Oreochromis niloticus: one gene and its partners. The protein of the gene in region 1 purifies or fractionates together with the protein of each later gene. This does not show direct contact. Links are inferred from orthologs where the notes say so. Each region holds a gene or a part of one and is shown in the gene's direction. Other genes may lie near its edges.

Region 1 (7,572 bases):
TGGGTGAAAACTGCGTCCAAGTCAAGGTCACACCAAACTGAAAATCAGTACCAACTTTTTATGGCTCGTTTTCAAACTTCCCGAAAATATACTAGGCCTTGAGTTCCTAGGTTTGCTATGCATTTGACCTTGACCTTCATTGTTAGCAAAGTCGATGTTGAAAAAAATTTACAGAAAACTTATCAAGTGATATATCATATGAAAGGGCATAGAGAGAGCTGTACAACACACTTTTTGTTTTTTCAATACGACGCCCTACAATGTCACAATGAACCCATGAAGTTTTGTAAAATTACATGCGTGCATGAATATATCTTTAAATTTATCTTAAACTTTTTGCAGCTTATAGAAGCCAAAGATTTTAGCCAATTTTGCTCTGATTATATAGGTAAAGATGATAAAATAAACCATTTTACTATGTAATGCTTCAAGGTCAAAGTTCATGGTCACACGAACTTATTTAAAGGCTTTATAGTTTCCTTTGGATAATAAAATAACAGTCATTTTGGGACATCAGCACTTTCTTTGGCTGAGCTTTACAACATCATGTGACTTCACAGTAACACAAAACATTTATACACTGTACTGGATTTTTATTATTAGTGCTGACATCAGCATAAAACATCAGGCTTCAGCATAGCCCTTCAGGGCGAGTTCTCTCTGTGCTCTTGTGTGCTGTATACGTCTATGTAAAATTCTGCCTCCCTCACAGTGTTTTTATTTTTATTTTTTTAATTTAAATGTCTTTGTTCCTCAGGCTTGGCGGTGACGTACCGCGCTGACGGTCAGGAGTTGGCTGTGGCCACTCTGAACGGTGAGATCTCTTTCTGGAACCCGCACACGGCCACACAAAATGGCTCCGTTGCTGGACGACACGACCTGCAGACAGGCCGCAAGGAGACGGATAAAATCACAGCCAAGCAATCCGCCAAGGGCAAGTGAGTGGACGGGATTCGAGCGTCAGGTTTGATTCCACTGGTTCAAATCATCTTGTCTAATGTGACTTTTTTTTTTTTCTTCTCTCTCTCGTTAAGGTCGTTTACATCACTGTGTTACTCTGCGGACGGGGAGTCTGTTTTGGCGGGGGGTCAGTCCAAGTTTGTCTGCATCTACAACATCAAGGAGCAGATGCTCATGAAGAAGTTTGAAATCTCCTGCAACCTGTCCTTCGACGCTATGGAGGTGCGACCTCAGTCTGCTCAGCGAGTTTATTTCCATGTCACATGACTGCAGCATACATATTTAATAACATCAACTGTCCTAAAAAAACAAATGTATGGTTGATGGTTGAGGGGTTTTTTTAAGGAGACGAGGCGAACCCAAAATAGGAATTTAAGGCATTTTTTAAAAGTGTATGTTAGATGACTAAACATAGATGGATCGGATGCATCTTTAGTCCTTGAAGAGGTTTTAATTATGACAGGTTTCACTCATCCTGTTGTCCTGCTTCACCTTCAGGAGTTCCTGGACAGGAGGAAGATGACAGAGTTCGGCAGTCTGGCTCTGGTGGATGAAGGAGCCGGGGACGGAGACGGAGTCAGCATCAGCCTCCCTGGAGTCAGGAGAGGTACAACCCTCACACGAAGGCTCAGACCAGTTATTATAAGTGTGGAAGTTGTGTGTTTGCTACAAGGTGCAGTGGACAGAAGTGGTGATCGCTGTCCACATAGCTCTATGGAGGACTGAAACCGCCAGAATTAAAAATAGGTCAACTTTAGAAGTGAGGATTTTAATGTATTTTGATTAATTTAGGTGATTTAAAATTTGACATTTTCTCTGATTTTGAGCTTGAGTTGATCTTGAGTTTATGATATAATTTTGGCAGCCCTCCATGTAATTAAGTAATTGTATTTTGTAAGGATCATGAGGCCTTTTACCAAAAAAAATGTCTCTGGTGTCTTATTCACTGATGTTTTTGCTTCGACCTTCACTGATTCTTGTGTCTGCTCATCCTTAAAGGTGACATGAGTTCTCGTCACTTCAGACCTGAGATCAGAGTGAGCTCGCTGCGGTTCTCCCCTACTGGTAGGTGACAGAATTACAGCTTGGAGCATGGTTTCAAAATGTTATCCTGTGAACACTGGATGATGAAAGACAACACTGATGTTGTCCTTCATGATGTTGATGTTGTCCTTCATCACAGCAGTTTTTCATGTTGTTTTCTGCTACCATTACGGTGTTTGAATCTCGTGCAGCAAACTTCGCTGGACACCAGCAGACACGTTCACGAAGCACGTATGAAAAGCATGCGTCCCGTTACAGACGAGCTTTGTCGGCCGGTTAGTGAAGTTGTTCTCCTCCTCAGGTCGCAGTTGGGCAGCCACCACCACCGAGGGCCTGCTGGTCTACTCCCTTGACGGGTCACTGGTCTTTGACCCGTACGACCTGGACCTAGACGTGACACCGGCCAGCATACGCAAGCAGCTGCGCCTTCAGGAGTGGGCGTCGGCCATAGTCCTGGCGTTCAGGCTCAACGAAAAAGCCCTCAAGCAGGAAGTGTTGGAGAAGGTCCCACACGAGCAGAGTGAGTGAATTTCACCTTATTTAACATTTTGAGTTCCTTTTTTCACTTGGAAACGCCTGAGTGATGTGAGTTGTGCGTCCTTCTGGTCTAGTCCCGGTGGTTTGCGGCTCTCTTCCTGACATTTATGTCGAGAAGCTGCTGGGTTTCATCGCCACGTGTTTGGAGAAGTCGGGCCACTTGCAGTTCTACATGACCTGGGCCCAGAACCTGCTCATGCTGCACGGACAGAAACTGAAGAACAGGTGTGTCCTCAGGCTCTCATTCACATCACAGATTCAGTTCAGCATGACTGTAAGTGAACAGAAGATGACAGCAACAAATATTTCAATGCATCTGCTTTGGCATGCAGGTCTGGAGCCATCCTGCCCACGCTGCAGGCGCTACAGAAGAGCATCCAGAGGCACTTCGACGACCTCTCCAAGCTGTAAGTTACAGATCCTCTGAAATGTTGTGCCTTTGCCCAGATACAGCTCAGCAGATCTGAATGTGTGCTTTGTTTGTGCAGCTGCGACTTCAACATATACAACATCCGCTATGCCGTGGCCCTCTCAAAGCAAAGAGGCTTAAAGAGGGCGGCTGAGGAGGAGACAGAGGACCAGGAGGAGGAGGATGAAGAGCTGTCTGAGGAGATGAGCGAGGCTTCTTTAGAGGATGCAGAAATGATGCTGTAGGCCACCTCAGTGCCGCAGCATGACACATGTTGGACTGTAAAAGAAAAACAGATTTTTGTGTACTTGGATGTGATTTTTTAGAGTTCTTTTATAATTAAATTCATATGTAACTGTGGATGGTTTTCTTTGGTTTAATGAAATGTCACCCTCTATGATTATTATTATTATTATTATTATTATAATTATTGTTATTGATTTCTTTTTTGTTAGCGGATATATAGAACATTTCTAAACAAATGTTATCTACATTATTATGCAAAGGTCTTGGACGTCTCCATATATTTTTAGGAAAATGTGAAATAGATGCAGTGATTTACATATCTTCAGGAATAGTTCTCCAGGCTTCTTGAAGGACATTCAGCTCTTCTTTGGATGTTTCTGCCTTTTGTTCTGTTCTCTGTCAACATGATCCCACACTGCTTCAATAATGTTGAGGTCCGGGCTTTGGGGAGGCCGATCCATGACTGATAATGTTCCACTGTGTGTTTTTATTCAGGAATGCTTTTACTGCATTGGCAGTGTGTTCAGGATTATTGCCATGCTGAAAAATTAAGCTGTTACCAATCAGATGCTTTCCAGATGTAATTGCATGGTGGATCAAAATCTGATGGTACTTTTCTGAGTTCTTAATTCATCATTTGACAAGATCTTGAACACCACTTACTGAAATGCAGCCCAAACCTTGACAGAGCCTCCACCGTGTTTTACAGATGTCTGTAGGCACTCACTGTTGTAACATTTATCCTCAACTTGTGCAGTTTAATCAGGATCTTCAAGAACACACTGCACACCATGCTGAGATATGCCAAGTTTTCAGCTTGGGAATCACATTGTTGGTGCAAAAATACTATTTTATGTTAAACTGTGTAGATTCACCTAAAGAAATAAGAACAAATTCTGTGTTTTATGACAGGTTGCCAGTAATACATGCCTAAAGATACAATTTAAATCTGGTTCTTTGCCAGGTTGTTGTTTTTTTTGTGTGTGTGTAGACACAAAACTGGTTCACCCCTTGAATTAGGTTTCTTTGTTATGCTTGAGTGAGTAATAGGTAAATGTCAAACAAATAATTCCCCTGAAAATGTTCAGGTTCAAGGACTGGACTGAACATGACTGAAAAAGCAGCAATGGCCAAAGAAACGCTTTGAAAGATCTTCAGAAAGCTGGAGAATTATTGCTCAAGAGCATTTAAAATGACAAAAGTCCGGAAGTAAAAGATAAAGAAATTATTATAAAAATATATATAATACGCCTGCACGGCTTTAACCGGAAAATAACCGGTATTTGTGCAGTCGAGCTGAGATTCGTGATTGGCTGAATATTCAGTTTCCGGCATGCTCGTCGGCGTAGGAGCGGAAGGGGCGGGGTTAATTCCAAAATGAGGGAAAATAAGAACATGTCCGAGTCCCCTTCTCAAGCGGGAAAAGAAATACCGGCGAAAAAGCAAAAGCTGAGCAGCGATGAGAACAGCAATCCTGACTTATCAGGAGACGAGAACGTAAGCGTTTAAACCGTGTTTGATGCTTGGCCGCAGATGAGCCGTGTAGCGCTTCTGACCAGTTAGCATTGTGCTAAAGTAGCCGATGTGCTAAAGGCTTTAGCTAGCATCTTTGTTCATTCACACCGGTTGGATTCAAACAGCTGGAGCTATCAGATATAGTTATTCACTGTGGACTATTTTAGTGTCTTCAAATAAATTTTCCCGCACGTGTTTCTTCCATGTTAGCGCACACGTGTTTTCTTTGTGCTCAGACTGAGTTATTCACGTGTAAACCTGAGCTAGCCTTGGCAAAAAGCATCAAGCAGATAAATAATAAACTAAATAGTGACCAAAAGGTAGTGTTTTTCGGATGGGTTGCTCAAGAATGGTCTTCAGTTAAGCTTTGATTGTGAGAAAAATGTTACAGCGCTTTATGAACTGATTAATGGGGAATGTTTTTGTAGCAGCATGGGCCAACCATAGCCATCTTTACTCATCTCCTCCTTCATTGTGTTTAAACTGACCCAATAGTTTGGAAGTGATACGCTTTTGATTGTTTTGTTTTTTTCTGCTATAAAAAGTGCACTGTTAAACAAATAGCAGGGCAAGAAACGTGTTTACAATGTATTCAGCACAGCAGGCACACTTTGTTTGTGAGTGCTCATGTTCTGGCCTCAATGCGCATGTTTAGAAGATGATTTTGCATTTAAAAACACGTTTGTTTGTGTTGCTGCTGGTTGCAGGACGATGCCGTCAGCGTTGAGAGTGGCACCAACGCAGAACGCCCAGACACACCCACCAACACCGCCAATGCCCCCGGCAGAAAGAGCTGGGGCAAGGGCAAGTGGAAGTCCAAGAAGTGCAGATATTCTTTTAAATGTGTCAACAGCCTGAGGGTGAGTACGTCCAGCACACCAGACAGTGTGCAGAGCCCAGAGGGGTTTACTGTGAAATGAGCCAGCAAAAAACGATACATAGTCACAGGTATTTGGATGTTCTTAGCTGTCGATTCAGAAAAGGCATTAATAGGTTGGTCCTAATCTGCTGCCTGGTCTGATTTAAACTACTAGGCAGACAAGACAGAATACACGTGTGAATGAGTGACAGGCGAATATCCAAGGAGTAGATATCGTGAAGTTTAAATATTGGGGATCAACCCACTGAAAGCAGCAGACGGTGTGCAAAAGAGGTCAAAAAGAGAGTGCAGGCAGCGTGGGGTGGATAGAGAAAAGTGTCAGGGTTGATTTGTGACAGAAAGATGGCAGCAAAAGTGAAAGGGGAAGTTTAGAAGATTATAATGGAGACTGCTATGATCTCTGGTTTGGAGACAGTGGTGCTGACATAAAGACAGGAGGCAGTTTTAAAGATGTTAAGATTTTCATTGGCAGTTACCAGAAGGGATACGATTAGAAAGTAATGCATCAGAGGGACAACGATTTACAGACAAGGGGTCCGTTCTTCGTACCTCGCTTACTACATCCAAGATCAAATCATCGCTCTAACCTTGAGCTCGCTAATCCGGTTCTCCGAACACACCTGTTGTTGACGATTAGTATAGCTGGATGAAGTAATCTGAGATCACTGGGTGGCTTAAAAGGGGCTACGCATCGATAGTAGAAACATTGATCGGCAACCCTTTGATTGGTCGGCGAAGATGTCGAAGGAGCGCGCTCAGTATTTTTTGGCAGCAGAGCAAGAACCCTTGATTGAGGGATATCAGGAGTTTCAGAGTCTAATTAAAGCGCAGGGGAACATTGCAAAGGCTGCAAAAGCAAGGAGAGAGGGCTGGCAGAAAGTTGCTGACAAATTAAACTCGTAAGTAATTTATTATATTATATTACATTATATCCTCTTTCACATTAGAGCCACAACAGGACCCACTAGAACATGGGAACAAGTAAAAGTGAAATATAAGAATATTCTACAGAATGGTAATATTTATCACTTATATTGCTTTTAGTCTCTTGAAAAGAGACCCTGAAATAATCTGTATGTTTGTTCATAACAGCAACCAAGAAAAGGGCAGAGCAAATAAAGACAGGTGGTGGTCCTGCACCCCCTCGTCACACCCCGGCTTTTTGTACTGTGACATTTATTGACATTGTGGGTTTTTTGTGTGTAGTTTTACATAACACTCCATCACTTTTACCTGTTCCCATGCAAGGGGTGACTGAAGCATGCACAGTAAGTTGGGAGATATATATATACATATATATATATATATATATATATATAAAAAACCTGGAAGTCCCGAGGTCAAAATGGGAGATGCCCCCAAGGGTGGTGGAGAATGACCGAGCTAAGATCCTGTGGGACTTCCAGATGCAGACGGACAAAATGGTGGTGGCTAACCAACCGGACATAGTGGTGGTAGACAAACAGAAGAAGACGGCTGTAGTGATCGATGTAGCGGTTCCGAATGACAGCAATATCAGGAAGAAGGAACACGAGAAGCTGGAGAAATACCAAGGGCTCAGAGAAGAGCTCGAGAGGATGTGGAGGATGAAGGTGACGGTGGTCCCCGTGGTAATCGGAGCACTAGGTGCGGTGACTCCCAAGCTAGGCGAGTGGCTCCAGCAGATCCCGGGAACAACATCGGAGATCTCTGTCCAGAAGAGCGCAGTCCTGGGAACAGCTAAGATACTGCGCAGGACCCTCAAGCTCCCAGGCCTCTGGTAGAGGACCCGAGCTTGAAGGATACACCGCCCGCAGGGGCGTGCTGGGTGTTTTTTTTTTTTTGTTTTTTATATATATATATATATAGAGAGAGAGAGAGTGAGAGTGTTAAGTAAATAATACCCTCACGGGAAAATCGATATCTCTCTATGAGCACACTGTCGCGCTGAGCTAAAGGATCCTGTCTATCCCGCAATATCCGCTGAATTCTGAAAACTCTC
Region 2 (7,990 bases), on another chromosome or scaffold:
TACATCCTAATTCAGAGCTAGCTAATGGCTCGGTCAAGGACTAAAAATATAACAACTTCCTTAGATCCATAAAAAAATATGGAACTTGTGGTGATGATATGGTTGCTCAGAGCTTGTGGGTGTTGCACACTCACAACCACTTTTAATTGCAGGGCGATTGCACAGGTTGCCAGATAGGAAGCAACTTTTCTGCAAACAGCTGCAACCTGACCTGGACTGACTGCAAAATATTGCTGTCTGATTTATAAATGCAGACAGATTGACAACATGTTGCCATCAGTCTGAATGAGTCTTTGTCAGTAAACACAACTCGAGAGGACTTGAGTCAGCTGGATGCTTGTGAGCTGGTTATATTTCTATAGAACAGGAAGGTTGCTGAACGCAAATGTAATGTGAATTTCTTTTAAAAATGAATTTGAGCCTATGTAAACTTCAACAGATATGTGATTTTAAAGGATTTATCACAGTTAATTGATGTATTATTAACAATAGATTGCACTTAATTGCCAACTTGGTCCCTTTCAATCATAGACTATCTCACAATAATTATGGCTGGTTTTAGTGAGTACTGGTATGCTTGCCAATGTTATTGTGATAAAACAGGCACTGACAAAGTTCAACTTTGAGGGCATAATTTGCAAAACTAGATAAATAATATTGTATAGTGTGAAGCCCGGTAATGATATTGTATCATCTGGTATCTGGTGACTCTCACCACTAATGGAATAAAAAACTGAAGTGAAATGAACCAAATCAGAAACAAAAACAGCTGCAGTTGTTGAAAACAGGAAGAAAGATCACGTTTAATGCCAAAATAGTCAAAGTTCAGCTGTGCATACAGAAAGTAACTATTTCCTTTATTACCAACCTATAGCAGTGTTATTTTTGCATCTCTGCGAGGCTGCACTTATAAAGAGTGGTGCTTTGAGTTAAAGTGTAACTTTAGCATGCAACAATAAAAACGATAACATGGCAATGATTAGCAGCTATAACTTTTACCTTGTTTGAAATCCTAGTTTAGTATGCCAACATGCAAACATTTGCTAAGAAAAAAACACAAAATACAGCTGAGGCTTATGGACTCCTTACAGCAGGTAAATACTGATTTGGTGGTGCTGAAGTCAGAGGATTGCAAAAGTCTCTGGGAGGGGGAACGTTAACATTTTGTGTCAATAATTCGTTAATTTGTTCTTTGGTCAGTGGGGCCAAAGGTTGCTAAGCCAACTATCATGGCAATCCACACAACACAGTTACACATTTCACCATCTCTTCTATGGCAGAAAAGTCTGCGGCCTTATCAAAGAGTGTCGAACTAGAATTGCGAAAACTTTACAATAAGAAGTTACAGGACACTTCTGTGAGGTCTTGATGTTGCTCTGGAGCAACAGCTGAAGTCAGTTAATGAAATGATCCTCTCGGCAGCACACAGACTAAGAGAATAATTAAATAAAAGCAAGCAAAAAGATAAAGCAAAGAGGACTGTTGGAAGGCAGAGTGGAGCAGTGAAAAGAATTTAGGTCAGACTGCCTCCGTCGGCCACACTTCTCGACTTTTACCCAAACAAAACTGCAGTTAGTTTTTCCTCCGAGGACTGTAACTGCACTTGGGAGGATAAAGTAATTTTGCTTCTCTCTTTGATTGCATGACAGGAACTGGTTATGCCGTGTGTGTTTTGGCAGCTTGGCGTGCCTCTCATTCAGCTTCAGCAGTGTTTCCAAATCCCAGCAAAATACCCTGGCGGTGTGGCAGGCACCAAGTCAAAAGCCTTTTTATCTTTCATGTGCTGTGATTACTGTAGTTTGTAAACAGAGCAGAACTCTCTGTTATGGGTTTATACACTCTGTGGGAGACATTAAAGCGTCTGATCCGCACTGACACACAGACAGAGGGTCAAATTACTCTTAATTTGTATTCTTTAGAGATTTAAGGCATCTCACCAAATACTTTTACAAAAAGGTTAGGGTACGGGAAAATAACAAATTAATTGTCTCTCTATTTGGTGCATTTCATCAATCTGTTACTGACAACAGCAGGAATTTATTTGAGCTTTAGCAGCTGCTTTTTAATAGAGCAGGACAGATGTCTCCTCTGCATGACCACTTTGATTTTAAACACTGTGTGCCCTGAAGAGATGACTAAATAGACAGTTGGCCTCCACGAAAGAGATGGAGATAAGGATAGAGAGTGAACATTGCTATCACATCTGAATGCCTTGGCATGTGTAAACGGAATTAACATTGCCTATGTGCACACATGGAAATTAAAGGTTGGATGCAGCCCAGCCCTCCATAGTCATGACAAGCAAGTGACTTTGAGTCATGTGTGTCTGTGAACTGTCTGTGGGGTATGTGAAAGCTGAGCAGGACAGAGCTTAATCCTTCATTAAACCCTGTGGTCCCTTACAGTGTCTCCTCTGCAATGAAACCTGATATGTACTAAACGTCTTAACTAGGAAAACAATGGATAAACCTAACTGATGCCACGTATGAGGGTTAAAAAGAGTCAAAAAGATGTTTATTACTATATTACTAACCACAAAGACAGGGACAGAGACTCCACATGTTTTGCAGTTGTATAGCAGCCTCAAGGTATAAATCAATAAAATAAACAAAACAAGATAAGTCAAATAAAATGACTAAGTGCTGAGAGCTGAATGACCTATGCACGACTGAGCTAAGTGACAAAGCACAAAATCCATAGTGCAAGCTTTAGGGTCACTGTCTGTCAACAGATGGTCTCAGTTACCCAGACAAAAGACCCATATCATGTAGAGGGATTTGCGGTGATGGCCACTGTCATTTCATCCCACCTGAAATCCACAGAGCGTCTCAGGACGGAGCTGGCTCTCCTTGTCAGTTTTTGCCTCTAATCCCGCATGACGCACTGAGGGTGGCTAATAATCTCTGATTGAAAACGTGTCTTTACAGGCTCAATGAAGCCTTACTAAACTGGTTTTTAAATGTAGCACGCTTTGACATCTGAGCTACTTGATTTCTGACAGCACAGTTCGGTCCAGGAGCCATATATATGTCAGCTCTGCAGTAAACTGTGATGACTTTGCTGAAACCTGCCTTGTAAGCTTGCTACCTGGAAGAAAATAAGGAACACATTTTGCCGTTGTGAATTTATGAGCAAACAGGTTTCCTAGAAAGTTCTTAGAGAGGCTTTTTCTCAAAATTGGTGAGCCCGTTTGCATTTTGCACTGACCTTTTGTTTGAGAACATGGGGAGAAACTGATTTGAGTAGACCACAAGCAGAACTATTTGCCTAATTACTGTGAAAAATGTGCAGACTGCATGCACAATATGCAGTGAAAACACATGCAAAATCATTTTTTTCTTCTAGGATCAAAGTCCTCTCAGGCCTTAAAAAAAAAAACAACGCCCGGTACAGGATGACATGTTGCTTAGTAGCAACTGATCTCATTGAATTAAACCACGGGCCTACAGGAGACATTGGTTTACTGTAATTGGTTACTGGTTATAGCCAGATGAAATGAGGTGAGCTTGCCAACATGTTTCACACTTTGAGCTCAACATGTTTCAGCTTTCAGTAGACTGCATTAAACTGACTGTTGTGTATGTTGTAATACAGCAGCATTCTACCCTTTTTAAGAGCAAATGCAGCCCTGTACTCTCCTCCTCTTTCATAAGCTCCTTACTGTATTGGGAGAAGTTGCTGGCAGCTGCTCCTCAAATCAGAAGGTTCAACCCTTATTACCCAGCCCAAAGGAATTACTGCTGCCCTGGCACTGCTGAAGGCAAGGAAAAGACTGAGTGGAAGCCCTGGCGTCTTTACAGTCAAAAACAAAGCAGAGCCAGGGAAACGATGATATTGTTTCTAGAGCAGGCTCGCATTCATCAGGTATTTTGCATTTTGCATTCATCAGGTATTTTGATGTCGCCCACACCGAGCAGCAAGAGGAGGTACCCGTTTACTGCCAGCTGTCAGTGTGATGTGGCACCACAGCAAGCTCAAACAACCCCACAGCATCCCCTCATTTTAAACTGCAATCCACTTCACACAACACATCCTGGGTAGCAATCTTACCTGAAAGTAGAAAGACTTTTTCACCCAGGCCCGTGGAAACAGACCCTTCGCCATCACAAAAATAGATCATCTCAAGACGTGGACCTGGCTGTGGGGGATCATCCAAAAACCCATGGGAGAAAGCCTGTTCAGCATCAAACGACGGGCACAGGGAAATTATTGCAGGTTATCCGATTTTAAGCTCAGATTGTCGATTTGTGTTGACGGCGTGAGTCGCTCTGACGGCACACTTTGCCTGCGCCTGGGCTCTGTTTGCAGCAGCTGCTGAATTCCAACCAAAGCAACATAGTTGAAGCTGGGGAAAAAAAACGCAGGTTCAGAGCGCAGGCGCAAACTCTACCAATAAGATGTCTGTTTTTAAGTTTACATGTGATCAACTAATTTGACCAAAACTGCTGTCCAAGCCCACTCACCGATGCCAGATCCCCTCCGCAGATAACGGTGAGTCAATATTGCGTGTTTGCGAAACTCTGGAGGTACAAGCAGGTCAAGCCCAAGCCAGCAAGGAGAGGGAACACAAACATCCGCTTTCTCCTTCAAAATAAAGGTTTTATTGCGGAGACGCTACACACAACTTCCGGCCAGGAGGTCTAATTAAAAATTACCTGTTAGCGTCATGTTATGTTGTAGCGCCATGAAGTGGCCGTACTTTGCACAAGTTTATCAAACATCTCATCGTTAAACTTCTGATGTTTTTGAGTAAACATATTTTATATTTAGAATGTCTCTCTTAGGCAGACACTTACGCATAACACCTCCAGTAAAACGTCGACTAAAATAATAAAAAAAATTTAAAAAAATATGCTTCTTTAAGGGGCGGATATGTTTTGCTTACTAAATGCCCTGCCTACAATTTCAAATGTTTGAAAAAATGGTGAGCGTCGCGGCAGAGACAGCCAGCAGCAGTCGTTTAAGCTCTTCCCATAATGCACTCCCCGATCACCAGCGGGAAACCAAAATGGCGAACTTGCTCGGGGAAAATGAACCGTTTGTTATTTTCTGAGGAAGCCACAAACCCCGCATGTTTTCCAGACACGCTTTGGAAGTGAATTCAGTTGCTCGAGGAGCGGGATAAGAGCGGCTCTTCTGTCCGGTTATTTTTGTCGTACGAGTCGTTTGTAGAAGCGGAGGTGACCGAATGAGGTATTGTTGTCATGTTTTCCTCCCGTTAGGGGGGGTGTGGGTCCGACGGTCAGCGACCTGGCTGGGGTTACGGCTTTGCATGTGGATTATTCCCGCTGCTGAGCTCGCCCAGCTGCCAGCTATTTAATATACAAGACATTATATCAGCGTGCAGCGGCATCCCAAGCTGTCTTTTTATCTTTGCTAAGTGGCTGGCATTGAATATGTCCACTCATTATCCGAACAAAGGAAAGCCTGCATTGGAGGACAGCGTTTAAAGGCGAAGGAAAAAACCCCAATAGTTTCTTAATATCTGAAATTAATAACATTTGTAATAGAAGCTAGAAATATGACATTTTGTATTAGTATGTACAAACTATCTGCTGTCACTGAGACTTGTGGTGGAATGGAAGTGTTCAGTAGTAAGTACATTGGTACATTGGTCTTTATTTCTAAAAGGGTGGTTAGGTTTTTGTTTTTTGTCTTTCATTGCATTGAAGCCATGTTACTGACTATGTGGTTAATTACCAATTAGCACTAATTATGGGTATAATCACCTGTTGTTCAAAGCCAGTGGAGAGGAAATGCCATGTTTCACTCTCTTTTGTAAGCCCTTCTGCAAGCACACAATGCATCCTTGTGTTTGAGGGCTACACATACAGGACTGTTACTCTGCTAGCTGTTATCAGTTTAAAAAAAAAATACCAATAACATGCATTAAGTTGTACTAGTATTCTTTTGAGGAAACAGAATACACCACATATAAATAATTACAATCTGTTTACAGTAAGCAGAAAAAAAAATTCTCCTAAATTAACTTTGAACTTATTCCATATCCGCTTGCTCCATAGTCTAAATTCACATCTGCCTCTGTTCTCTTGTATTGCACTGTTTTTCAGAGACTCAGGGGTTGTGGATCACCTGTCTGTGCATCACAGAGCTCATCCCCCGCAGCGGCAGCAGCAGGCTGTGTCCTTGTCCCCCACAAGCCTTTCTGCCAGGGGAGAGTATGGAGAAGACAGCATGTCTGATAGGTTTTCAGAGGGACAGGATGTCCTGGCCCGGTGGTCAGATGGCCTTTTCTACTTGGGGACAATCGCAAAGGTTAGTGTGAGGATGATGCATGAAGGTAAACGGACTGTGTGGAGAGCGTTGGCAGAAAAACTCCTGAAATCAGTATAGGTCATTTGCAGCAAAATCTGCTCCTGTCGCATCTGGAAACAAGTAAATCTTTCTTTGTTTTGTTTTTCAGATAGATCGGGACAAGCACCGATGTTTTGTGGTTTTTGAGGATCGGTCAAAGTCTTGGGTTCTTTGGAAGGATATTCAAACAGGTGAATGTTGGCTTCGAGGTGGATAAGAATGGCTTCATTGATCCCAAAGGGAAATTTAAAATGTGCAATATATTTTAGTTTAATTGCTAGATAATATGCAGTAAAGATACTGTAAGCCAGTGCAAAGAGGGTGGGGAGTCAATTATCCACAATTTGTGCTGTGCAAACCTTTCTGCCTCTTCCAGGACTTACTTATCTCTTGCTCTTGTCACTGACAGTTAACTGTAGAGTGTATCAGTACAGTCGCAGTGCATTGCTAATATGCAGACGGGCTGCTATCGCTCCACTTAAGCCCCTTTAGCTATTATGGTGTTAAGAAAAACTTATTCTTCATTTTTATTCTTAAATGGGATGGGTCATGAATAAAGCATTAATGAAAGCTATGATCAGACACATTCGTCACATTTGACTGTAAACGATTTGTGGGATAATTTTTATTTATTTATTTTAACCTCAAACCTCATCTCAATAGTTGAATTGTGATATATTAAAAAAGTATGACAAAGAATCACCACATGAGATGCAGTCAAAATCTTGTTATAAATTCTATTCCTGTGCAAGTGTGATAAAGCGCTATGAGGCAACTGTTGCTGTTATTTGGCGCTACATTAAAAAAAAAATAAAAAAAATGATTTGAATAGAAATCCCCCTTTCGGGTCTAGAAAAGACACATAGTTATTACAAACATCCCACACCCTCGAATATGCTCAGGAGGAAGAAGGCAGCAAACTGTCCGCAATCAGGATGAAAACGGCTTTATTCCTGCTGAATCAAAAGTTAAGCCAGTAGATGGAATCTTCTCTCTAGTATCCTGGTGTAGACCTTCAGTGACACGGAAGCGTGATTACCCCCCCCCCCCCCCCCCCCCGATAACCAGACAGTTTGGATTTTATTTATCCAGGTTGTAAAATATTTTCCCTGCCACCTTTCTCTAGTTTCAGCTGGGTGAATTTGAGTCATCTTTTGTTCATGTGATGACTCGGTGTACTCCTCTGACCTCGTTTAACTGAAAGCTGCTTTAAATGATACCCTTAGTCATACCACCATTGATCTGAAACTTTAGTTGCTTACCTTCATGACTTTGGTGCTGTTTAGGGGAAGAAGATGATGAGGATGACGACGACGATGACATTGTCTGCTCCATATGCCAGGACGAAACTTCAGAGGAACCCAATGAGATTGTCATTTGTGACAAATGTGGACAAGGTATCATTTATTGTCTCTGATGTTCCAACATAAGCCAGAAACAGTTATTTTATATTATATTTATAACCCATTTAAACAGCCAGTCTCAGTAGTTTATTTATTCGTCTGTTGGGCTCTAATCTCTGGCCATTACGGATGTGTTCATTTGTGTTTTAGGCTACCACCAGCGGTGTCACTCCCCTGTCATCGATGCTGCTGTCATCGACTCTGATGACAAGTGGCTTTGCTCAGAGTGCGAGCTCACTTCTCTATCTAAGGTACAGATTTTTCTTTAAGAA
Region 3 (7,894 bases), on another chromosome or scaffold:
CAGATAATGAACCCAACACTAAAAATGTCACACAGTCACTGCACTACTCTAACATCACTTGTATGTCTGTGCTGAATCCTTCACAAGCACTCTTAGAGAGAAACAAACATTAGCAAAACATATGAAGCATCCTGGGGGTTTTCCTGGGTCAACAGATTCCAGAGGTGCTGCAAAAAGATCATAAAGTTAACACTCTGCTGTAAAAGAGGTAATACTGGTTTCAAACACAGTATGTTTGACACTGTATTCACATTTTCTCCAACATTTTCTCAACAACATAGTGTAATTGCATAACCAACATATAACCTGTAATCAGTTGCCTTCACTCAGTAATTCTGTGAGAAAAAAAAATTAACCTGTGGTATGTCCTATAAATCACAGAATCAGATCACATGATGAACCCTCTGCTGTAGAAAAGAGAATGTAAATGTTAGCGCTGCGCAGGTGTATACACACTTTCTCACAGTGACCTCTGCATTTGGCAATACAGTGAAAGTGTATGAGAGTGTTTGTGAATAAAGTGAGAAAGTGATATTACTATAACTAATGTGATATAATTATATATGTGATTAATATATGAGAAAAGAAATCTGCCACCACAGAGAGCAGTGGTTACACCGGGGACGACAAGCAGGAAAACGAGCACAGGGTGGAGACACGGCTCAACCTAATTAAACATGACAAGACAGGGAGGAAGCAAAACAAAATACAAGACATGCACCTTCAAAGTAAAACAGGAAACACAGAACACAGGGAAACCGCATAACAAAATCTAAAACTAGAACTCAGGAAATACTAAAGAGCTAGACATACTGAGGCAGAAACAGTGATTAAACCAACAACCATGATGGAACCAAAAACTAAAAGTACAAAACTCAAACACTGGGTCACCGACCCAGGACCATGACCGTACTCCAACATTTGCGGTCTGGACCGCGGTTAGCTTGGACATTTCCAGATGAAAGAAGCAAAACAACAATAAAGCACTTTCTTTTCACGGTAGTGTTACAGACTGATTTCTCTTAGTGGCGATCTCTTTGGGAGGGGAGAGTACGGGGAAATGATGCAGTCATATGGAATAAATAAATCTAAGTAAAGTCCCACTTTGTGCCCTTTGACAAGATGAGGAAACATGGTTTATCCTGCTCTGCAGACTGGTCCTGCACCTCACAGGAAGCAGTCCATAAAATCAGTAAAGGAAAAGAAGCTGCAGAGCAAGTGTAGCAGGAAGGACAAAGTGTAAAATCTCCCCAAGGTCAGTTTATTCTACCCAGGTTTGGGATCATTCCCAGTCACACGATGATGCTGCCTGGACCTCGGCATCTGAGTTGGTTTAAATTAGAAAAAATAAGTAAGCTGGAAATGTTAGTGGTGGAATCTAACTAAGTACATTTACTCTATACTGTACTTAAGTAGTTAAGTAACTCACAGGTGGCCTGCTTTAGTTTTGGCTTCCCTTTAAAGCTCTCTTATCGTTGCTTCACTATATTTTCTATTTTACTTTATTATCTGACAGCTTATGTTACTGTTGGACTTTTATATACGAAAGTCACCCAGCTGTGGATGTAAGTACAACTCAAATGATCAGTTAGTTAGTTTTTGATTTCCTTTTTGGTTTTAGACAAAAACAAAGAACTGGATTGAGAGACTGAATCTTGGGTCAGAGAAACACCTGAAAAATGTAAAAAAAAAAAAACAGATGAAATGTTCTTTTTATTTTGTTTTATTTCATCATCGAATGATTTGCAGAGAAATAGACAACAGGCAGCCCCCTTCTTCAGCAGAAGGACACAACGATGTGGTTTGTAAATGTCACGTGTTCCTCCTCCCTCGCACAGATCAGTCGACACAGTCAAACATCTGTTAATGTCAAATCTTTAGCAACAACTGGTTTTACATTAAACCAACATTTCTGTTTAATCACATTTAAATAATAGTAATAACAGTAGTATGTGTATTGTTAAAAATGTGTTTAGACACAAGTTTTGTTGTGAAAGTCCATAAACCAGATGAGTGGCCTGTGAAATGGTAAAAGTGTAGTTTGGCTTTATAGTTTCTTCTCTTCACCAGGAGAGATGAGTCCTTTGTCACAGTTGGTGTGGTCAGTGAAGATGGTCACCTGCAGGTTCAGGCTCATTGCGTCTCCAACCCACATCCACTGCCACTGTACTGAAGGGAAGTTAAAGACTTTCTTCAGGCAGTCATGGAAACAAACCATCTATAAAATACTGCAACACACCAGCTTCTGTGTCTGAATGCAAAAGAAATGTGTTGTTTGAGTGAGAGACTGCACCTGTGGCTGAACTATAGATACATTCATGTTGATTATAAATGGAACTTCAATACAAAGGTCGTGTCCAAATTCATGGGCTGCATCCTCCTGAGGACCCAGCCTTCGCGGTCTACGTGGGCCGGGTCCTCAGAAGGTCGGGTAGGCCGGAAGTAAACGGCTGTGAAATTGGACGGTCTAGCCTTCTGATTAACGTCACCGCTGTCTCGGTGGAGTTTAATAAACTCGGCCGTCTGCTCCTTGCTGTCTAAAATATAACAGGACGCTGGCGTAAACTCTCGACCGTCTCACACTTCTGTTTAATCAGTTTTCTGTTTGACGTTTATTCAGCTGTGTGAAAACCACCCGGGGGATTAATAAAGTTTTATTTTATCTAATCTAATCTAATAACTTTAATCTCAGCCAAACCGATTTACTCACGAACAAATAAAATACTGAAAACAGCCAAACAATATCATTTTTAGGTTGTCTAAGTGACTTATATATGACGTTTAACCAGAGTAGCAAAAGTCCGCGGTGATCTGAAAATGATGTGCCGGGAGTTCGCTGTTCTCAGCAGTTCCAGTGACCCTCGACCTCCCGGATAGCTATCGAGCTGGTGGGTAACAGACGTCTCCGAAAACGTCGAAGCACTTTTGCAAATATGCGATATCTTGATAAACCGAGCAGATATTTGAAGTTTACACAGCTACATTCTCGCCTGAAAATATGTTAAAAGTTTATTTTGTGACCCAGAAAGATTAATAAGAGTAATTTTAAAACTTAGTAGCGGCCGCCATTGTTGGAAACTGGAGTTTGGCTGGGCCGCGCTATGAATTCTGGGATATGGTGGGCCACGAAGGACACACCCGACCCATCCTTCAAATTCGGGGAAAAGGAGGACGCATTAGTCGGCTGCATTCGGAGGAGTCTACGAATTTGGACAGCCTTCGGCGCGTCGCTGTGACGTAATCGGCCTACAAATGCGGCCTCACGAGGATGCAGCCCATGAATTTGGACACGACCAACGTGACTGTCAGGTTTCGGTTGTGTTTAAGCAGGAGAGGACCCAAACGCATGACTCAAGACACACGGGGATACACTCAAAAGGCACGGCTTTATTAACAGGAACACAGGGAGCGATACAACACTATACTGGGAGAACCTAAAAGCTAGAGACAGAGGAGACACAAGGAAACGCACACAACCATGAGGGATGACGCGACACGGAACAAAGGGGGACGCTAACATAAATATACAGAAGGTAACGAGGGAAGTGGAAGCAAACGGGAAACACAGCTGAGGACAATTACACATGACAGAACGGGGAGGACACAAAACTGAAAATGCTGATGCCAAGACGCGGACCTTAAACATAACACAGAGGGTACACAGAGACAGCCGAGAGAGGCAGAGAGAGAGAACACGATGGAAAGAGGAAAACACGGGACACAAGGAGTGGAAGCAAAGCACAATAACTGAAATCACTATATACACGGTCACACAGAGGACAACACAGGGGGGAAATCTAACAAACCCTAATACTGAACAGAAAACCTAGAGATCTTAAGAATACAAAAGAACTTAATACAGAATGTCAAAACTCAAAACATCAGGTCAGAAGTCCTGGGACCATGACAGTGACAAGAAGTTGGTTTCAAAATGTTTAAATCTGAGACTTTATTAAGATTATTAAAGGTTTAAATTATCCAACAAATAAATATACAATTTAAATAAAGCCTCCGACTTTTCCGCTCCGCTTCCACGGACTACTTTCCCGAGGAAATACTCCGTGGACACGGAAATAGAAAAACTCACAATAACAAGGTAACCAGGAGAGGATTAAAGAAGAGTGGGGTGAGAGCCAGACGAAAGAGGGAGACACACAAACAACGAGCGCTCCCGTCTATTATCCTTGCTAATGTGCAGTCTCTCCGCTCCAAGCTGGACGAGCTGCAAGCCTGCGTCAACCACCTGCATGAGTACAGAACTGCCTCCGTTCTGGCATTCACGTAATCGTGGTTAAACAACAGCGACGACGACAGCGCGCTGCACATTGATGGCTTTTCACCACCCCTTTGTCTGGACAGAGACCGCGATATATCATATTTTAAAAATCTAATTAAATAACAAAACAACTTGTGCAGTGTCCAGGATGTTGGCTGATTCATTGTTTTGATGTTTGAAAATCAAAGTTGGGCTAATTTTAACTGCATTACAGGAAGTGCTATTAATTATTGCTTTATGCTAAATGTTGTAGTAGAAATCTCTTTAATTCAATGAGATTAAACATCATGTGATTTAGTTGCATTTAATCTGTGTGTAACAAAATTATTTTTATTTATATATTATCTTTATATATTTAGTACAACCTGAAACGTTTGTCAGAGAATAAAAGTCAGAACTGCACACTCAGAAACAGCGGTCACAGATGTTGTTCAGCTCGCAGAGAGGTGGAGTCATAGGGTGTAGATCAGTAGCGTGTAGGAAGAACAGCTGCGGGGCCGCTACACAAGAAATCTCGCTCAGAAAAAATCTCGCGGTAAAACTATTTTTTTTCCTCTCACAGCCAATTATAGCGCAGCGTCCCACACGCTTCAACGCAACAGCCAATCACAGTTAGGGTAGGCGCTGCGGCGTGATGACGGAACGATAAGGAAAAAAGCCGTGCTGTGATTCGCGGGAAAAGTGAAAAATGGCGCCGGAGTAAGTTTGAAGTTTAGCGCCGCGGAGAGCAGCAGCAGCAGACAGACAGACAGACAGACGTAAGGGAGACAGACAGGGAGACGTGAGGGAGACGGACAGAGACAGACAGACAGCCTGAAGAAGCACCGACTCAACGACCTTCTGTCCTGGGATGCCAGCAGCGGGAGGACCGGCAGAAAGGAGGCACAGCCCGGATCAGTGCAGGTATCACGGCTTGCCTCTCTGCGCTGATCCGCTCTGATTTAGCCCTGGGATTTAGTGTGGCCCGTTAGTTTAGCCCGGGTCACAGAGTTGTTGAGACCCCTGAATTTAACCCGGGTCAGTTCATCACTGTGTGCAAGTGTTTGTCTGTGAGCTGGCCCTCTTAACGTGAATTATTACGGGGTGTTACCGGGTTATCGTTTAGGATTTCATGGCCCGGTTTACTCATTACTCCGGTCGGTTATCGCGCTTTATCAGCTCTTTTCCGTTAGTTAACCCGTTAGGGTGTGGTGGGTAGTTACTGGATGGTTAGAGCTCTGTTAACGGTATGTGATGGGAGGACGCACTGCGCATGTCAGCCCTCCTCCAAACCACCGCGCAGTTCAGGAATGAATCACAGACCGTCTGTCTGTCTCTCTGCAGGATGTATGAGGACCTGATCGAAGACTTCTGCGGTCTGGAGCATCAGGTGTCTCCAGGGGGCGGAGGGTGTGAAGGGGGGCGTGTCCCCGAACCTGACGGGGTGGAGTCCAGTCTGAGCGTGGGTCAGTTCGTGCTCTGTCGTTGGTCAGATGGACTGTACTACCTGGGAAAGATCCAACGGGTAAGCGTGTGCTCACCTGACACCCACTGCAGCATCATCATGCTCATCGTGATTGGCTGAGTTTCTGTGTTCTGATTGGTGCATAGGTGAGTCCCCCTAGGCAGAGCTGCTTCGTCACTTTTGAGGACAACTCTAAGTTCTGGGTCCTCTGGAAGGACATCCAGCACGGTGAGACAGACGGGTGGAGTGAGAGAAAGCTAGAGAGAGCAAGACAGGTGCATCATGTCTGTGATCTGCTTCTTTTGTCCAATCCTAATGCAGCTGGAGTACCGGGGGAGGAGCCTCGCTGCTCTATGTGCCAGGAGGTGGACCCAAACTCCAGCACCCAAACAAACCAGATCCTGATCTGTGGAAAGTGTGGGATCGGTGAGTCTGACACACACACACACAGGAGCAGTTTATTAGGAACACCTGCCTGTGGGCTTTCTGCAGGTCAAACTGAGGGTCACACCTGCAAAGCTAAAACTGACTGCATGGTAGGACTGGGCGATATGGCCCAAAATTCATATCTCGGTATTCTTTAGCTGGATGGCGATATACGGCATATATCTCGATATTTTTTAAAGCTATAAAGTAAGAACAAAAAGAGAGTTCTTAGTCACACTGTGTCCCAGATCTCACACAGGCACTTTTATCAACATACAGCGTTTGTTTAACATTTATCAGCATTTATTAAATAATAATGCTCCATAAATAAAATAAAACACCGTTGTTTTTGTGCATAGCAAAAAGCTCACAATTGTGAAGTCAAAATGTAAACTAAAAGACGCTGAGCATAATAACAAAGTCTGACAGCCTGGAGTTGCGTGAACTGCACAGTGTCAACGCGTTAGCCCGGTTAGCTCGTTAACGCGTCACATTGATGCCGTCCAGCCCCACGCACGGGGCGATCCGCGGTAACTTGCTAACGGATATTTGCCACAGTTATGCCGTTAACGTCATTTTAACGAGATTAACACTAACAGCACTAAAATAGTAATCTCCAAATGTTTTCTTTTTACCGAGCAGCTCCTCTTTGATAGCTGCCGTGTGCATCTTGTCATTGCCTGCAGGTGAAGCAATGGGGGAGTTGTGTTCAGTGAAGGAGAGGCGAGGCAGAGTAACGCTGCGTAGAGACAAAAGTGGATGAAAGAGAGGCAAACTTGCAGCTCCACAAGTATAATTGTAACATAACGTAGTAACATATTGTCACATCTCATATCTCGTATAAAAAAATATATCGATATATTTAAAATCTCGATATATCGCCCAGCCCTACTGCATGGTGTTTGAGGGTGGGGTTTATTGGACGGGCTTGCTGTGACATCAGCATTTTCTCAGGAGGTGGAGCTCCTCCATAACTGCTGATACTTCTAATGTGTTAGCTCACGGATGTGAATGACCTCTGACCTTTAACAGAAGCTCAGAGTGAAGCTGATAGTAGAAACATTAGAGCAGACTCTGTTTGCAGTAAAGGCAGAAATGCTTTCTGATGATCAGATTTAAGGTCAAAGGTCACATCAGGATTCACCTTCATGCGATCTGAATGAAAACCTGAATGAATCGAATGCCCGTGACGATGACCGAGTGCTCTTTGTTTATCTGTTGCCATGGTGAATCCTGGGCTCTGACCATCACCTGTCTGTCAGGTTTCCACCAGCAGTGTCACATTCCTCCAGTAGAGGGCAGCGGCGCCCTGACTCCGTGGTTCTGCAGACGCTGCGTCTTTGCTCTGGCGGTCCGGGTACGATGCTTCTCACCTGTGTGTGTGTGTGTGTCTCACTCTCAGTTGTGTGTGTGTGTGTATGTGTCTCTCTCTCATTTGTGTGTGTGTCTCTCTCTCTCACACTTGTGTGTGTGTGTGTTTGTGTGTGTCGCCTGCCTCTGACTTGTGTCTCTGCACCTGTGCGTCCCACAGAAGGGCGGGGCTCTGAGGAAAGGTGTGATAGCCAAAGCCCTGAGTGTGATGAAACAGGTGCTGCCGTACGAGCTGGAGGCCCTGGACTGGGACTCGCAGCACCGGACCAATCAGCAGCAGTGTTACTGTTACTGCGGTGGCCCTGGAGAGTAAGTTGGCCTGATGAGAGCTGCAGGTGTGGTTGGCCGTTACTTGATTCACCTGTGTGCATTACCTT
Region 4 (7,545 bases), on another chromosome or scaffold:
ATTTCTCTTCCTCGTCTCTTCCTGACTTCTCCACAGCTGGCGCTAGAAGCGGTAGCCTCGTGTGACTGTGAGGTCTGGTTACTAGCTGTTACTAGATGTTGCTGGTACTACTGTTCACGGTCCAACAGCAACAACAGCTAACATGTTGGTTTATTTGACAGATTTTGCTGCATTTATTATTAGTTTCTTTTTATTCTCTCAGCTTTTCAGTAGCACCTTTGACACTTCTTCCACACAAAATGTGAGTGCATGGTGAAGGTAGGGGAGGGGCCAGTCTTGTTAAGAGATTAGATTGGGCGATGCAGTGTAAGTAATGCAAATGAAGGAATTGGCTGCTGCCATTGCATGTGCTGCAATTGCGCAGTGGGCCAAAACCTGACTTGTTCAGGGAAAATGTTAATGTTTTAATCTCACACGTTTCTTTAAGCCACAAACAATTAATAAGTATAATGTCATTCTAATAAAATAGCAGGAAATAGCATTAGCTTACAGCATTAACTGCTGTATTATCCATCAGATGAATCAGCTATCCATTTAGCCAGTTACTACTATTTGCTAAATTTAGTCGTAGCTAGCGCCTTTATCGATGGTCAGAACACATTTTGAACATGTTGAAAGTTGTTGTAACATTTTAAGATTAGTAACAATATGATGTCGTTGGCGGGAGAGACAGGTAGCCAAGAAAGGTAACATTACACTGAGTAAACTTACATATTTTTCTGTGATTGTTGGGAACACCAATATACAAATATAAAACACCCATCCATCCATTTTGAGGCAAAGTAAAAACCATTCACCTGCGAACTTTGCACTTCAGCGCCAGCGGCTCTCCTCCCTGAGTGGCCACTTATGGTTCCTCTGTCAGGTGATAAAGGTCGATAGCCAATGAGGGGCACATCGTCTGATTCCACCCCTGGCAGGTTATAACCACCTGTACGTATGTTACGGGGGAGCATGGTGCCAGCTGCTGCAGACAAGAGACACATAAGAAATGTTTTAGATATTTCTTAAGAAGCTGTTGGAATGAATTAAGTACTAACATGTTCATTTCCTTATAACATAAAAGTATAAAATTACATTATTATCAGACAGTGGTGCTAAAGCTGAGGCAATGAAAGTGGATCACATCAGAAACTAACTTAAATTTCCACAACTGACTCATTTAACATGTCCAAACTCATTATAGAAAAGCACTGTTTTCCTTTTAAGCACTGCAAATCTGAAACAAACTGTCAGAAACACAGAGACTCTCTCCAACTTTCTAGGTTTTAGATCAAAGCTTAAAACTTGACTGTTTATTCCTGCACTGCACAGTACTTTTTTCTCAGAGCTTTAAAGCTTATTTTTTTTATCTTGAATTCGATTTTTCTTCTCAAAAACTAACTTGTATTTTCTTTATTTTGATGCTTTTTAATGTCTAATCTTAGACAGTTAGATAACAAATGTGAGAAATCTAAATGTTTCTATTTTCCAGTTAGGTTCTTCATAATATGTTTGTTTTATAAAATGAGGAAAGGCTGTAAGAGTGTACAGAGTGATGTCCCTAAATGTGTGACCACTGGGCAGCTGGATTTTGTACTTAAGGTTTGAAGAAGTAATCATCAGTCATTTTCAATAAATAAACTAACTGTAACTTTATGACGTATAGCCACGCTTGTGTGTGCCTCGTTATGTGTCTTCTTGAATCACCTGTGAATACTTTGCACATGTTAGAGCTCCACATTGAACAAATTATCAGTTATAGCTTTAAAAACTTTAAGATAACCTTTAAACTGCATTTTAAACAAAAGCAACACTCTATGGTTAATGGTATCCTGGAGTTGATTTGCTTAACACACTGACTGTGCTCTACAGCAGGTCTGGATTTGCATAGCAACCCTTCCTTCCATTTCCCTTTCCCCTCTTTGGTATTTAGATTGCCCTGAAGATAAACATCAAGTAAACACTGTTACAGGAAAAGAGGTGTTGAGCGAGAGAGTTGGTGGGTGTAGGAGTGATATGAGGGTGATGGAAATGTCAACCACAGACACATAAACAGTTATGTTAACCTGAAGAATTTTTATTAAAAAGAACACGTTAAAGTGCTCCGTTGTGCAGTTTGGTGTATTAATAAATGTTACGTGTGTTGCAGTTTCTTCTGACTTTTACCAGGAGCAAATGATACAGAATGGCTGTGATGTGACCAGCAACAGAACAGCAGAGTCTGCCCTGCTAGCATGTTCAGAACACCTTTGAGCAAGGCACATGACCCATCTGATTGTTCACACAGCTCTGGATCCGAACGAGCACTTAAAAAGTGTGTGGTCTAAAAATGCATTAATGGCACTCCCTGGTTTCCACTCATTTTGTTTTGGTTCTTTACAATTTGTGTAACACTAAACTTTCTCTTGCATAATGCTCTGTCTTTACTGCAGGTTTGTGGTGGTTCATTATATTCTTGCTCAAGAAAGCAAGTTTGTACCGTGAATAAGAGAGGAAAGGGGAGCAGGCCTGCAGGGGAAACAAAGCATTACCAGTGCAGCATATGATCTAGCTGACCAACGGTTGTGCAGAAGTCTGAAAGGCTGCTATTCACTGGCCTGACCAAAGCAAACAGCCACATATGACTGAGGTGTACACACATATAACGCAGTAACTAGGCTACAGTAAGTCACACCCCATAATGCCTATTTTCTGTTTAATAAATGTAGCCGTGGGGTGGTGCTACAGCAATGTACAGTCCTAATGACAGCTTCAGTCTCGATGTCGGCTGGAAGACGAGAATGGAGCCCGAAACTGTCAGGGCTGCAAAAGTTTGACGCGTGTATTTAAACACAGTAGAGTGACAGATGATGACATTTGCTTCCTGCTGCGAATCACTCAGCGACACGAAGGCCGTAAAAATTAAGAGCTAGGCTATAAAAATTAAGCAAATAGAGGAAGATAAATGAAGGAAGCTACAATTCAACTTACTGTTAGCGAAGTCTCATTCGCAGGATGTGCGCTATCCAACCGCGGTCAGCTCGATCCAGACTGCATTGGATGACCGCCGGGGCTGCTGGATCGGTGGCCGGCTCAGCTGAGGAGAGTCGCACCCATCTGTACCACCGTCACCGCCGACAACGACGAGGGAGTCTCCATCCTCCGCCTCGCCCCCCACCCTCTCTCGCCCCTCTATCAGTCTCTCCACACTGTTCGCCTGTCCAGCTTTCAGCAGCTGATAGCGCACTTTGGTCTGTCTGCAAACTCCCTCCCTCCCTCCCTACCTCCCTCTCTCCCCGCCTCTCTCTCACTCTAACGTCGCAGTTCCTGTACGTTGTGCATTCACTGCTTTGGCAACATATCCGTCTCTCCGGGCAGTTCCACCGTGTGGATAGCGATACACCGCAACCGCGTACGCGTCGCCTCCGGGGAAATGTTACTTCAAGGACCAGCAGGCAGACTGCGTGACCGCGCACGAGCACGTGTACGCACAACCACACGCAAACACACGCGCATTTTCTGTCATTTTGAAAGTCTTTCCATCCATAAAATCTTCACCTCATCTAAACGATCGCTGACTGCAGAAAAACAGGCCCATTGAATTGACTTTAATACTTTAATAAACCTATATATTACAATACCAATTATAAAGCAGTCCCTATTAAACTCATAAACCTAAAAGTAAGCCTGACCTCTGACCTGTCTTCTGTATTACCAGACTTCAACAATCGACCTTAGGCTTAGACATTTAAACTTGAACCCTCTAGGTTTGGGTCAAGATCAAACACTTCTGCAGATCTATAATTTAATTCAAGCAACTTAAAGAAGTCCAGACGCTTTTCTTTCCAAGCTCCTTAGACTACGATGACCTGGATGACTGAGAACCTTCACAGACGTCTATAATTTAGCTTTAGAGTATTACATACTTCTCTAGATTTTAATGCAGGCTCTCTGCAGTACACAAGAATTTTCACAGGTTGACCCTCATGATTGGCCAGTGTAGCTTAATGTGTAGAAAAATTCAGATTGCCCCTTTAAGCCTAATATAACCTTGAGGATATTATTGCTCTAATAGTTGGTTGCTTCAAATACACATCCATATTCACAATGCAAACCAAGACAGCAGACACTCTTGGGCATAATCTGGGCTACTTGTGGCACCTTTTAAACAATACATTCTTCATTTTTGAAAAGCCAACACACACACATGCATGAAACAGTCTTTACCTTACAAACCTGAGCTCAACTGATTTGATATAATTTTTTAATAAAAATCCCACCCTATTTGTTGGTCACTCCTGTGCCACCCCACTGAGAAATCCCAGAAACACACCTGTTCTCTCAACTGAACTCATCTGCTGATCGGTATTCACGCAAACCCCACAGAAACACCCTCAGGCCCATGACATTTAATCTAGACACTTTTAGGTTTAGCTTCATATTTTAAGCAATTATCTAATGCTATTTTTAGTGCATTCCTGTAGCGTCAAATCTTAGTATTTGCCTTCTCTGCTCCTTCAAGGATGAATGGTTTCATCTGTAAAAAGTAGGCCATGCTACCATTCAGATTACAACAGCTACTGTGTGACTGTAATGGCAAATGCATTTTAAATTGTGACACGGAAAGGAACTTGAGAAACAACACACCCATCACATGCAATAAAAACCCATGATGTCAGGGTGTTAGCTTCTTTTTTTTGGCTTATAACCTGTGAAGACTCGACATTACAGAGTCCACGAGCCATGAGGATTTTAAATGGTCTTCCTTTCTTATTATCCTACTCATATCATCATCATCATCATCATCATCACACCTCTGGGGCTTCTCTCGAACTTCACTCTGATCCTGCGAGTCCATGAGACTGACAGGCCTGATTGCAGTAGTTCCTGTTCTGGTATTTGTTCGCCACCCAGCGGCCACATTTGGAAAATGACACTGTACGCTTTCTCTCTTTCTTTCTTTTCTTTTCTTTTTTTTTTTTAATCTGCCAGGGGCCATTTTGAACCGCACGGCGGTGTTACCACACGCTCGACTGGTGTGAGTAATGTGCAAGACATAAACAAGAAAAGAAAGCAAAAACAAACAAACACAACCTTGGATTTGATGGATGAGCCTGCAGCCAAAAACAGCAAAACGCGCCGTTTGACTAAAGCAATTTAACTGTAAGAGTAATCTAAATCCCGGAGTGATTTAGCATTGTTTACAATTTAATAACGTGTCTGTGACTCTCTGGAAGCAGCTTTCCCCCGATGTTTGCCTTTTCTGAAGCAGTTAATAGGTTTTCAGTAACCATATATACTCAACAACGTGCATGGTTCATTCAAGACTGAACTCAGTGAAGCAGCCTGCATTGGATGTATGTCTGGAACTGGTGCAATTAGAGACACTGTGCATTTGTGCATGTTTTTTATCTTTTGTGAGCCATCAGACATCGCAGCCCAGAGGAGATGACCCTCTGGATATTTGTCCCCTTTGGAGTTTATTTTTTAGATAAAATTGTAAGATCTGGTTTATATGGGAAGTAATTCTCTGTGACGTTGTGTTGCAAGTCAGTGAGCTCATACATGCTTTAAATCTTACATTGTAGTATTTTCTAAATAATGTTTAATGTTATCCCCAAACTCTTGAGTAAAACAGAAAGAACGATCACACCAAATTCAGTTCATTCCTAAAAATCAGCACTGATAAGCAACAGTTTAATCTTCCTGCTCTGCTTCTACTGCTGAAAACTTTTCCCATCGGTTTCCTAAACTTGTCCGGTCCCTTCTTGTTCGAAACCAATTAATGAGGCGGCTAAACTCACTAATTGGCTACTTAATTGGCCCCTGTCACCGGGCGCGCTGCTTCCGCTGGCTTTTAGCGCACCGCCGCCCTCCTTTCTTTTCTCAGAAATCACAATCCCACCTTGTCACAGGGATTTAGGGTCAATCTCTCACACAGGAAGGTGCTCTCGCGGAGGACCCCCCCGCCACCTCTGGATCCCCCTCTATCAGTATCTCCCTCCCACTCTATCTCGGTGTTTTATGTCTGCGTCACAACAAGTCGGTCGAGAGCGAGAGGCAGGGATGATGGCGTCTCTGGCGGCTTGATTCCGGTGCTGCTCTGACAAACCCGCCTTAATAGCATCAGTAGGTGGTGACGGAGAGGGGGGAGAGAGAGCAAAAGCGACGGGAACATGACGAAACGGCACCGCGGAGGACGGACAAACTAGACTGAGAGACGGACGGACAGTCAGTCCCCCCCCTCCTCCTCCTCCTCTCCCTCCTCCTCGCTGACGGCTTGACTGACACACACAGGCGCTTGGCACAGACAGGGACATACATGCACATCATCCACTTTTTGCAAACACGCAGGCTGCGCATCCGAGCTGGCAGTAATTGGGCAGCGGAGACCCACAGCAGATGAGGGCATTTCATGTCCAGCCTGTCCAGGAATCACTGTGACCCCGACGGAAAGGAGTTCGACTTGACAGGTACCCTTCACCGGCCAGCTTTCAGTGAAATTTGCCTGATTTCCCTCTGATTCACAAAAGGCTACATACACTGTAATGCATCCTGCGTCTGTCTTGACTTGAGTGCATGCACTGGAACAAATGCTCAATGTGCAGAGATAATGCCTGCAGAGTCATTTGATGCATCTATTCAAGTTTTTAAGATGTTGGGAGAGGGGAAGACAACAGCAAAGTGCAGGGAAGATGTTTCAAGTAGCTGCACTGTGATCTTTGCTCATTCAGTCAAACTGTATTGCAGTAGTCATCATGCAGTGTTTTTTTTTTCTGTGTGTGTATGTGTGTTTGATGTGTGCAGTAATCATTTGTCTTGCTCTCTGGTTGTGTACTCACTCTCATCTTTCACTGTGGTGGATACAGGCTGTCGCTATGCTCTAGTCTAAAAGGAGGAGGATGGAGGGGGGGAGATTTTAACCCCTTTGCACTGAAGCCCGCCTGTCTCAGAAGCAGTCGAAATGCCGGGGCCATAAACCCCTCTGTCAGCAATGGCAGCAAAGTATTCAGCGAATAAATCGGATTTCCATTTCACATGAGCCCTGCTCTCTCTCCCCTCTCTGTCTCTTTCCTCAGGATGGGGGGAGTAAGTGAAGGAGATGATGTGTTGGCTCGATGGAGTGATGGACTACTGTACCTCGGCAATGTGAAAAGAGTAAGTGCATGTATGAGTGTGTATGCGTGTGTGACAGAGAGACCTTTGAGTGTGTGTATGCAACATGTGCGTGAGTGTGTTTGGCTGGATTTGAAAAGACTTCCATTTAGTTTTGTCAATCATTCCGCTCACCTGCTATCTCCTTCTCAGGTAGATGGAGTCAAGCAGTGTTGTCTGGTGAGATTTGAGGACAACTCTGAGTTCTGGGTACTGAGAAAGGACATTCACTCGTGTAAGAAAAACTCTTTTTTTCCCTCCCCCCCTCCCGCTTCCTTCGGCAAGAAGAGTAAGTAGCTTCCTGTTGAAAGAACTTTGTACTTGTTGGGTTAAAAATGCACCTAGCTTGAGCTTTTGAACACAGAGATGCTCGGATGAACTCGCAGTAAAGGTGTTTGCTTCCACTCTCAGATTTTGCTGAAGGAGTTG

What was found.
Region 2: the proteins of eed (region 1) and mtf2 purify together in Homo sapiens (affinity purification with mass spectrometry; 3 studies listed by BioGRID and IntAct, with this or other methods). This does not show direct contact. The link is inferred for Oreochromis niloticus from reciprocal best matches to the Homo sapiens genes EED and MTF2.
Region 3: the proteins of eed (region 1) and phf19 purify together in Homo sapiens (affinity purification with mass spectrometry; 8 studies listed by BioGRID and IntAct, counting the BioPlex papers as one, with this or other methods). This does not show direct contact. The link is inferred for Oreochromis niloticus from reciprocal best matches to the Homo sapiens genes EED and PHF19.
Region 4: the proteins of eed (region 1) and phf1 purify together in Homo sapiens (affinity purification with mass spectrometry; 8 studies listed by BioGRID and IntAct, with this or other methods). This does not show direct contact. The link is inferred for Oreochromis niloticus from reciprocal best matches to the Homo sapiens genes EED and PHF1.

The regions. Positions count from the first base shown.
Region 1 is NC_031986.2:20,926,794-20,934,365, reverse strand, and holds the start of eed (polycomb protein eed), read left to right. Parts: upstream 1-4,530; 5' UTR 4,531-4,573; coding exon 4,574-4,693; intron 4,694-5,418; coding exon 5,419-5,571; intron 5,572-7,572. Other genes in the region: pwp2h (PWP2 small subunit processome component), read left to right, coding at 758-938, 1,035-1,182, 1,459-1,567, 1,960-2,025, 2,306-2,524, 2,616-2,766, 2,874-2,948, 3,030-3,195. UniProt on the Homo sapiens protein: Polycomb group (PcG) protein. Component of the PRC2/EED-EZH2 complex, which methylates 'Lys-9' and 'Lys-27' of histone H3, leading to transcriptional repression of the affected target gene.
Region 2 is NC_031982.2:10,795,429-10,803,418, forward strand, and holds the start of mtf2 (metal-response element-binding transcription factor 2), read left to right. Parts: upstream 1-4,969; 5' UTR 4,970-5,188; coding exon 5,189-5,193; intron 5,194-6,071; coding exon 6,072-6,276; intron 6,277-6,424; coding exon 6,425-6,506; intron 6,507-7,601; coding exon 7,602-7,712; intron 7,713-7,868; coding exon 7,869-7,969; intron 7,970-7,990. Other genes in the region: dipk1aa (divergent protein kinase domain 1A), read right to left, coding at 4,051-4,104. UniProt on the Homo sapiens protein: Polycomb group (PcG) protein that specifically binds histone H3 trimethylated at 'Lys-36' (H3K36me3) and recruits the PRC2 complex, thus enhancing PRC2 H3K27me3 methylation activity.
Region 3 is NC_031977.2:37,161,685-37,169,578, reverse strand, and holds the start of phf19 (PHD finger protein 19), read left to right. Parts: upstream 1-4,882; 5' UTR 4,883-5,126; coding exon 5,127-5,179; intron 5,180-5,599; coding exon 5,600-5,780; intron 5,781-5,866; coding exon 5,867-5,948; intron 5,949-6,041; coding exon 6,042-6,146; intron 6,147-7,408; coding exon 7,409-7,503; intron 7,504-7,677; coding exon 7,678-7,826; intron 7,827-7,894.
Region 4 is NC_031976.2:34,397,101-34,404,645, forward strand, and holds the start of phf1 (PHD finger protein 1), read left to right. Parts: upstream 1-4,532; 5' UTR 4,533-6,434; intron 6,435-7,040; 5' UTR 7,041-7,041; coding exon 7,042-7,119; intron 7,120-7,269; coding exon 7,270-7,351; intron 7,352-7,545. Other genes in the region: rgl2 (ral guanine nucleotide dissociation stimulator-like 2), read right to left, coding at 798-956. UniProt on the Homo sapiens protein: Polycomb group (PcG) that specifically binds histone H3 trimethylated at 'Lys-36' (H3K36me3) and recruits the PRC2 complex. Involved in DNA damage response and is recruited at double-strand breaks (DSBs).